2 linked regions of the Coturnix japonica genome follow. The protein of the gene in region 1 interacts with the protein of each later gene in a biochemical or structural test. Links are inferred from orthologs where the notes say so. Each region holds a gene or a part of one and is shown in the gene's direction. Other genes may lie near its edges.

Region 1 (4,238 bases):
CAAACCAGAAATGCAGTGTTATCTGAGAACGCCAGGGCAAGGAATTAGCTTGTGAATGGCCTTGTTCAGTGGGAAGCATACAAATATGCTTATTTTCAAACACGTTAAGCATAACAAACACAAATTGCTAATGCCTTAAACTTGAGGTACTCAACAATGTAGTTAAAAAGTCTAGTTTATCTTCAGTGCCTGTAGCTACAGGGCACATTACAGAGTAATCATAAACCTGGAAAAGCACTTTTTATGACTCAAAAGCCTAGAAAATGCCTTAAGATATTTGCAAGTTACTCTTTCCTCTATTTTTCCAAGTTATTTTTGGAGGTTAGCAAAAAAGCTTTGTGGAGAAACAGCTTAAGAACAAAAGCAACATGTTCCGTATGGTATGATTTGTTGGAACTTCATGGTACGATCTTTCCCTGTCTAAAAATGATAAAAACAGATGTCATGTTTTGTCTCCAGTAATTCTGAAAGATAAATTCCTTTCATAAGAATTCTGGAAGTTATTGTGAAATCTGGACTAGTAATTGCGTTCGTAAGCTTTAAATCAAGTTTATTGGTAGGCGCTGGCTTCACAGAAAGCTTTGGGTTTGCACCAGTATTTTCAGCTTCTTGTCATTCGGTGTTAATTAAGGTACCCAATACTTTATAAAACAAATGTATGGATAGACTTTTTTAAGCAAGGGAGCAGTGTTGCAAATGTATGAAGTCTTACTATGTGACTGGAATGGAAAGCAAATGGCACGACTGACTAGTTATGTTTTGGGTTGAATATTTAGGATAAAGTGAAAGGAATTGGTCGCATTCTTTCCCTTAAAGCACAATCCCAAGCTATCTCTCTCTTCGTAATGGTTTTTACTATGTTCATGCGTGCTCTTTCAGATGGAGCTTCCCAGAAGTACTCGGTCTCAAAGAATATCTATTGAGATAAATTGATAGAATCATCTGAGCTGTCCCATGTGCCCTTATTGCTAATAAAACTGAAAATTTCAATTTCACAGTCGGGAGAACTTCTGCTGGTTTCCATCTTTAAATACTGGGAACTTCAGTTCACTTCCTTGGCTGAAATCTTCAGGAACAGAAAATGTGGTTTGCTTATTAACTTAGAAAATGACCTCATGGCTTTACGTATTGTCTCCAGATTTGTGCAAAGTAACTTTATATCATGATCCTTTTTGCACAAGGGATCTAACCAACGTTACTCAAGTTTTCCAGAAGAGCTTAAGCAATGTACATTTTATTGCTATTCCAAGCAGTTGCTGCATCAGTTTATCATTGATAATATTCAAACACATTTTTTGTGTGGACAACTTGTTTTTTTCTTTCCATTTGCAATTGAAATCAGCAAAGGGTTTGTAAATGGAGCTTGGCTAATGTTGTTGGTATGTGGTCCAGAATTGAGATCTGATAGTGTGACAGAGAGTAAACAGTTGTTTTTTGTTTGTTGTGGTTTTTTGACTGAGACACCTGACTGTGGGTGTGTATATGGTGGCCTCATGTTCTAGTAAGAAGGTGGTTCATGGTCAAGTTTCTCATAATAATCACTTTTAAAAATAGAACCATACAAGAAAACGAGGCTTGCTCCAATTTTGTTTAACCCACAGCTGAGCTAAATGAGTGTTTTCCCTTCGTATGTTTTCTCACAATTGCTCTGCTGAGGGTCTGTGCAAAGCAGTGCGGCTGCTGATTGCATTCAAGATATCAAAGTTACAAATCCTAGTTAGCTTACTTTCAACAACAGTAATGCAGGGAATGACAGGTCATACCTAGAAAGTGAGGTCAGGCTTTCTGAGAACCAGGTTATTTATTTATTTATTTTGCTTTGAATATGAGACTGAATCTCAATCCAAAAGTCCGGCAAAGGAAGTTTTATCTTGCCTAAAGTGATTATAAATAACTACAAGATGCAATTTTTGAATGGTGTGCTATGAGTAATCTGGGTGTGGATTAGTGAATTACAGTGTATTAAGGTTTTGTGCTGCAGTAAATATTATTGCAGATCATGATGCTATGCCTTTTCAAGGAGGAGAGTTGCTGAGAAGGCACCTGAGAGTAATTATAAGGGAAAACATCTATTTACAGGTTGAAAGTTTGTATTTATTCAGTGTTAAAACAGCTTCTGCACTTGGACTGGAGTCTGCAGAGCTGGAGCTGTGATGAACCCAGTGCTGCAGCCTGCACTTCAAGGGGGAAGATGAGGGAGGGATTGCTGCATTTGGGGTGTTGGGACTGTGGGTGAGAGGAATGTGAGGTTGACCAGGACCAGATAAGCAGAAGTGAGACTGTGGGAATATATATGGTAGGAAGCCAGAGTGGTAAGACGTGTGGCAAGTAGTAGAGACTATAAAAGAGGGAATGCGGAGAGGAGGGCTGGATTGTGAAAGCATGGAATATAAGCAGTGATGTGAGGGAAGAATTGTGCAGATCAAAATGGTATGGTAAAGAATAGGATTCCCAATGGTGTAACAATACCTTCAGGGTTATATTCTTACCCACAAAGTTATAAAAATAATCCTGCAGGCACCCCATGGCAGCTTGTTTTCCATTCCTAGAGGCAGCTGTGCTGTTATGTGTCCTCTAACTGTGATTTAGGGAGGTTTGTCTTCATGCATATTGATGAGCAAGAAAAGGAGCAACCTGGAATGCCTGAATTATACAAGAATCCCCAAGGAGAAAGGAGTTCTCTACAAGAAAGGTGAGGAAGGATGTGTAGCTGATAGGGCCTGGTCTTGTTTGCATTTCCATTGCATTAGAGACTGAGAGATGTTTGATATCAATCAGCTGGGGGTGGGAAGAAAGTGCTCAAATGTATAGAGAGGTAGCAGAGGTATTCCAGTTGATGGCAAGCTCCAGTGCCTGTACCCATTTTCATTAGTTCTCTTTTGGTTTGAGTGATAACTGCCTGGTGCTTCAATGGTAAAGCTGGTGGTTGACTTCGCCTTTCTGTCTGTTGATAACCCTGATTCATGTGTTGGGAAACAGAGCTTTGCTTATTTAAATATGACAGTAAAGAATGCGTCTGTTATTTGTTCTAATAGACAAGCCTGTTTCTTAGTAATAGTGTTTAACTGCCATCAGTGTTTGCTTGCCTCCTCTAGGATTGCTATAAGATAGATTGGGTGATGTCTCCAGATCAGGTGTTTCTTGCTGACAGTACATTTCAAGAATCAATACTCAGCCTTGAATGAGTGTGGTGCTGATTATTCATTCTGTTTAGTTATTAGCATGTCAAGGAATGACATCTTGAGAACCCTCAGGTGAATCATTTGCTTGTGGTAGAACTTATTTTTTGAGTGATTTCCAAACTTTAATTTTTTGGGGGCTTTCATCTTTTTGGAACTTGGGTTTTCGTAGTCAAGAAGTTGTTCTCAGTGCATCACATCTGAAGACACAGATGTGTTTTCTTCTTTTCTCTGTTAAAACCCTTGAATTCACGGGTTTCCTGGGTAATGGTGGACCAATGTAAGGACTCAACTTTCCACTTCTGATGGAGAGTTGGGTTGGTTTCTGCAGAACAAAAACATGCTGCCAGGAAGAGGAAAATAAGATCACTGAATTTCAGTCTTCAGGCATGTTTTAAATGCTCTTGAGAAAAACAACAACAGCAACAACAGGGTGATGCTGAAAACCCTCCTCCTTGTTTCTTTCATAAAAGCTATTTAACATTTCCCAAATTTCTCTCCTTTGTTTCAGCAAAGGAAGACTCACTTTGTTTCTGTTGGCAGATAAACTTCATAGCTCTCAGCTTTTAGATGAAGAGAGCCAGAGTACTGAGAAAGGAATTGCTACCCAACTCCCACTCCTTTGTTTTAATGACATGGCTGATCTTTACCAAGCATTTTCACTTTTGATTTTGAGTTTAAATGCATATGATTGAAAGCTTGGGCACTTTTCCAGTTTTCTTGTTTTCCTTCCTAGATGCATCCATAGAACACTTTTCAATTCCAACAATAAAAATTACCTATCAGCGAGGAATAGCATTTGTACACATAGTGTTTCAAAAGGAAAACTTAGGTCTATCTTCTTATTTGGATTGAGTAACCTTCTTCTACTTTCTGTGAGGGCTGCTCTGGAAGTAATGCCTCCTATTTTATGATGTTGGCCCATGGCATCGGATACAGATGTTGGTGGGGTGGCAATAGAGGTTGAACCTTCCCATCAATATCCCATTACGTTTTGTTGCTGTGTGACAGAGGGAAGCAGAGGGGCAATCTGACAGTGTGGCATCTGTCCTGGAGGTG
Region 2 (4,151 bases), on another chromosome or scaffold:
TAACGGTGCTTCTGGTTATCCTATTTTTATAGCTTTGTGACTCACATATTACTTTCTTCGTCTCGCTCCCAAATCGTTAATCAGAAGTCAAAGGGAATTTGTATCCAGGAAAGAGCATTTCTGTTGACTCATAACAGCAAATGCTGCTGAAAGATGGCAAAGATGAAAAGTTGGGCAGCTCCTTCTTTGGGGTGGGAGCTTCATGGGAAGAACTGGTACTGCCTGGGCTTCCTGGGACTCCAGTTGAGCAAATGCACTCTCTGACAAAGCTGTGGAAGTTATTGCATTCTTACAACTGTTCCATTTGTACTGCTTTATTATTGTATTTTATTATCAATCTTAATGACTCTGCTTTTCACCTGCACTTCCAGGGAGATGGATGTTACATATCACCCCCAGTATAAGATGTCTTTCCCTCTGTAGCCAATTTTCAGCTAATTTAATTTACCTCTTTTTCTATTGCCTTACAAGGCTGAGTGATACAATTCTTTTGAACAAGGAAAACAGTTGCACAGCATGAATAAACACTGCTTAGCTTCCCAAGGAGGTAATAGTGTGCAATAGCAGCTCTAACCTATCTTTTTCTCTCTTATTTTCCTCCTGTCTGGTGTCTATTTTTATTCAACAATTTTATTGGAGAAGCAAAATGAGAAAAGAACATTGCTATTCTTGGAAACCTTCCATCGTGATGCAAGAGCAGAAGAAGGCCTGGATGAGAGACACGCAGAGCCTTCCTCAGAAGACTCCTTTACAGCAACTTACAGCAAGTGCCAACCATATCAGCAGTGTTGGGAGTGTGATACTGGAGTGTCATTTACTTCACACTGGGACCTACCCTGGATCAAGAGGAAATGAATAGGCACAGCTTCTAATAAACATTATATAAAAGAAATCTTTGTCACAGCTGATTTTCAACAGGAATTCCATAATAACCCAATGGAAGCATCTCACCCAATGGGAAACGTTTCCTACCATGCATCAGTAAGGGTAAGGCAAGGTGAATGAGACCTCTTTGATCCATGGTTGTAAGCTCATGTGCCACTCCTATGGGATCCAATGCTGCAGTGTTTTTGGCTCCTGCTCAGCAGGAGGACCCTGCCCCATCTCCTTCAGCTCGGGCTGAGACGTTGGGGACAAACACAACAGCAAAGCACAACACAGGAGAGTGATTCATCGGAGGAAATTCAAAAACCTGTGATTCATACCCTGAGTGCCAATGATGTTTTGCACTAACCTCAGTTTACTGAGGTTGCATTTCCATTTCAAGTGATTTACAAAGCATCCGCATGTGCACTTGGGTGCAGTTCAACCTCTTTGAAGGCAGGAGCCCAACCTCCCCATGTTTGCTGCCTGAGACCCTTAATTAGGGCACAGCTAGGAAGCATTCACAGTAATTAACTATCCATTGTGGTGAATATTATCTGAGCTCTCTCAGGTGTTGAAAAGCTCAGGACAGGGCTCTGGTAGCAAACTGTATGGATGTAAACATGAATGATGGTTTGATAAGAAACAGGCACTGCTCCCACTGAAGATAAAAACAGAAACTCCCAAAGGCATCTGATCTCTTCACACCTCTGGATTTCAGTGTCACTGGGCTACAGGTCTCTGAAGAACTGGCCTTTAATGTCTGCCAGGAGGGTTTTCAGTTCTCACAGACTTCAAACAAAGGTGAATTTCCATTGACCACATGGATGTGTTTTCAGTTCTCAGCAGTTTGGTTCCTTTCAGCGAAGAGGAGATAACTAAATATTAATAAGGGGATGGGATATTTTGTTCTTTTCTGCTAAAGACGCTTGCTTGAAAACTCTACCAAGAAGTCATTAGAACTGCTGGTTTTGTGGTTCACTTGTTTTCAGCCTCTCTGTCCTTTTAAGCAAAGCTCTTTGCTGCAGAGGATGCAGCAGGTGCATCATATTAAGAACCAATGCTATTTGGCCTTTCAACCAGGGCTTGTAAGAATGGATGCAGCACTGGTGAGAAGGTATGAAAGCAGTGATCTCAGCTCTGGAAAAGAAGAATAATCAGGCAGGTAGTGTGGTAACTCTATAGAGAGATGTTAGATGTAAAGGGTAACAGAGCATTGTACTGAAGTTATGTGCATCACCACCAGCTTGACAGGGAGGTGAGGTGGTTATTTACTGCCTAAGACAGAACTGCAGAGGTAGAAGTACTTGTTAATGCTGCATTCTTGTCCTGCTTGAAAATCACCATCTGTCTTAGCAGCACACCTGCCTCAGCTGAGCAGCATTTCCCTTCTGCATTTCAAGGTATTCCACTCTCCTCAAAGTTGGGACTAATCTGTTCATCCTGCTGTAACTTGGGGCAGTCTTCGGTGTTTCCTGCCTTAGTAACCTCTATTGTATAATGCTGATGCAAAACAAGTGAACTGTTACTTTCAAATGCCATGTTAGCAGTCTGATTGAATTTGTTTTAGGGACTAAAGCCAGATTTATTCTGGATTGCACCTCTTAGCACAGGAGCTAATTTTTTTTCCATGTTTTACCCCCCAATCTTCCATTGATCTATTTGTCTTTTGTGGCTATCACTGTAACATCTGCTTTTTCACTTACGTGTAGGTTTAGCATGAGTGTCCTGCCCTTGTAGAAGAGCTGACCACGCACATCTCTGTGCAGCCATGAAAACCTGCAAGCTCACAGTGCTCTCCTCATGGCACTGAAGATGATGTGACATTCTTAAAACTACAACACCATTATCCTCTTGTAAGTCATTTTCCTTGCTGAGTTAAACACCTGCTCGGCTATAAGCAAGAGATGCTTAAGATCTTTTCAAGCATAGTAGATGCTGCCAGTCATGGCAGTTGAGAAGAACTGGATTAAATAAAAAAGTCCTACCTCTGGTTTGAGACTCTTATATGCCAAGGTCAGAGGAACCTGGATAATTACACTCAATAAATAACTTTCCCTGCTTTTTCTGTTCTGATGTCTTTCACAAGGCATCTCTAGTTGAGCTCTATTGAAGGGAAGCTGCTAGGTTAGATGGACTGTTGGTTAAGATCCTATTTGGCCATTTTAGGGGTTCCTGAAAGGCAGGTTCTGCCTGACCAACCCAATCTACCAGGTAACAGTAATAGAAAAACAGGGAATGGCCTTAGTTCCATCAGTGGATGTTCAGGTTGGATATTAGGGTAAACTTCTTAGAAAGAATGGTAAGACAGGGATGGTGGTGGAGTCACTGTTCCTGGGGGTATTCAAGAAACATGGAGGCGTGTTCATGTGAAACATGAAATGTATGTTTTAGAGGGGATATGTTGATAGTAGGACTTGATGATCTTAAAGGTCTTTCCCAACCTTTATCAATCTATGATCTCTCTGAACACAGAGCACTGGAGATCACAGCACTGGGATGCTACGGAGGAGAACAAAAGGTTGCTCTGTGCAACAGGAAGGCAGCGCTCCAGGCAATGTACTGCACCGAACTAGAGCTGCACTGAGTATAAAATGAAACAAAATTTGCATAGCTCTCTTTTTTCACGGAAAGCCAGCAGCAGGGAGGGGGCACTGATCTTAGTAACCATTCACCTTCTGACATCAGAAACCTCCGATGCAACACACAAGGCTGCTGTCGCGAAATCCCTGATCACGAACATGAAGCTCCTTCCCCTCCTCACAGCTGCGACCTGCTTCACGCCCCCAGCTCCCTCGTTCTTTGTACCACAAGTGATGAAGTTTTTTTTCCAGATCACATGAGCCAGGATGAAGGGGAAAATCCTGCCAGGAACAGAGATGGGCTGCAACCTGAACCTGATCAAGGGGAGATACAGACCAAGTACCCTGAGAGCTATATAAGGTGCTTGGCACAAGAGCAAACACTTTTTCAGATGAAAGACTCCCATGAATCAGCCATGCATGTGAATGAAGACACCGTTTCAAGGAGGCTTGGAGCCACTAACAAAACTTTTCTGTATTTCATCATTGCTACCCTTGTTGCGTTGCTCGTATTTGCGTTAGCCACCATCATGGTCTTAGTTATCCGGAGGACGGTAAGCAATTCTCACTTCACTTGTTGCCTTTTTCTTCTTATTTATTGATTTATTATTATTTTTTTAAATATAACCTTCTACTCTAATCTAAAAACTATCCCATGGCTGGAAGGTCAGTCTCTGCCCCCTGTTATGAACACACACAGGAATT

What was found. The genes of interacting proteins can lie anywhere in the genome.
Region 2: the proteins of TNFRSF8 (region 1) and TNFSF8 form a complex in vitro, tested with the Homo sapiens proteins (2 studies listed by BioGRID and IntAct). The link is inferred for Coturnix japonica from reciprocal best matches to the Homo sapiens genes TNFRSF8 and TNFSF8.

Annotation. Positions count from the first base shown.
Region 1 is NC_029536.1:4,769,152-4,773,389, reverse strand, and holds the start of TNFRSF8 (tumor necrosis factor receptor superfamily member 8), read left to right. Parts: upstream 1-1,418; 5' UTR 1,419-4,238. UniProt on the Homo sapiens protein: Receptor for TNFSF8/CD30L. May play a role in the regulation of cellular growth and transformation of activated lymphoblasts. Regulates gene expression through activation of NF-kappa-B.
Region 2 is NC_029532.1:1,654,318-1,658,468, reverse strand, and holds the start of TNFSF8 (tumor necrosis factor ligand superfamily member 8), read left to right. Parts: upstream 1-1,301; 5' UTR 1,302-1,668; intron 1,669-2,576; 5' UTR 2,577-2,720; intron 2,721-3,339; 5' UTR 3,340-3,423; exon of another isoform or gene 3,424-3,698; 5' UTR 3,699-3,703; coding exon 3,704-4,000; intron 4,001-4,151.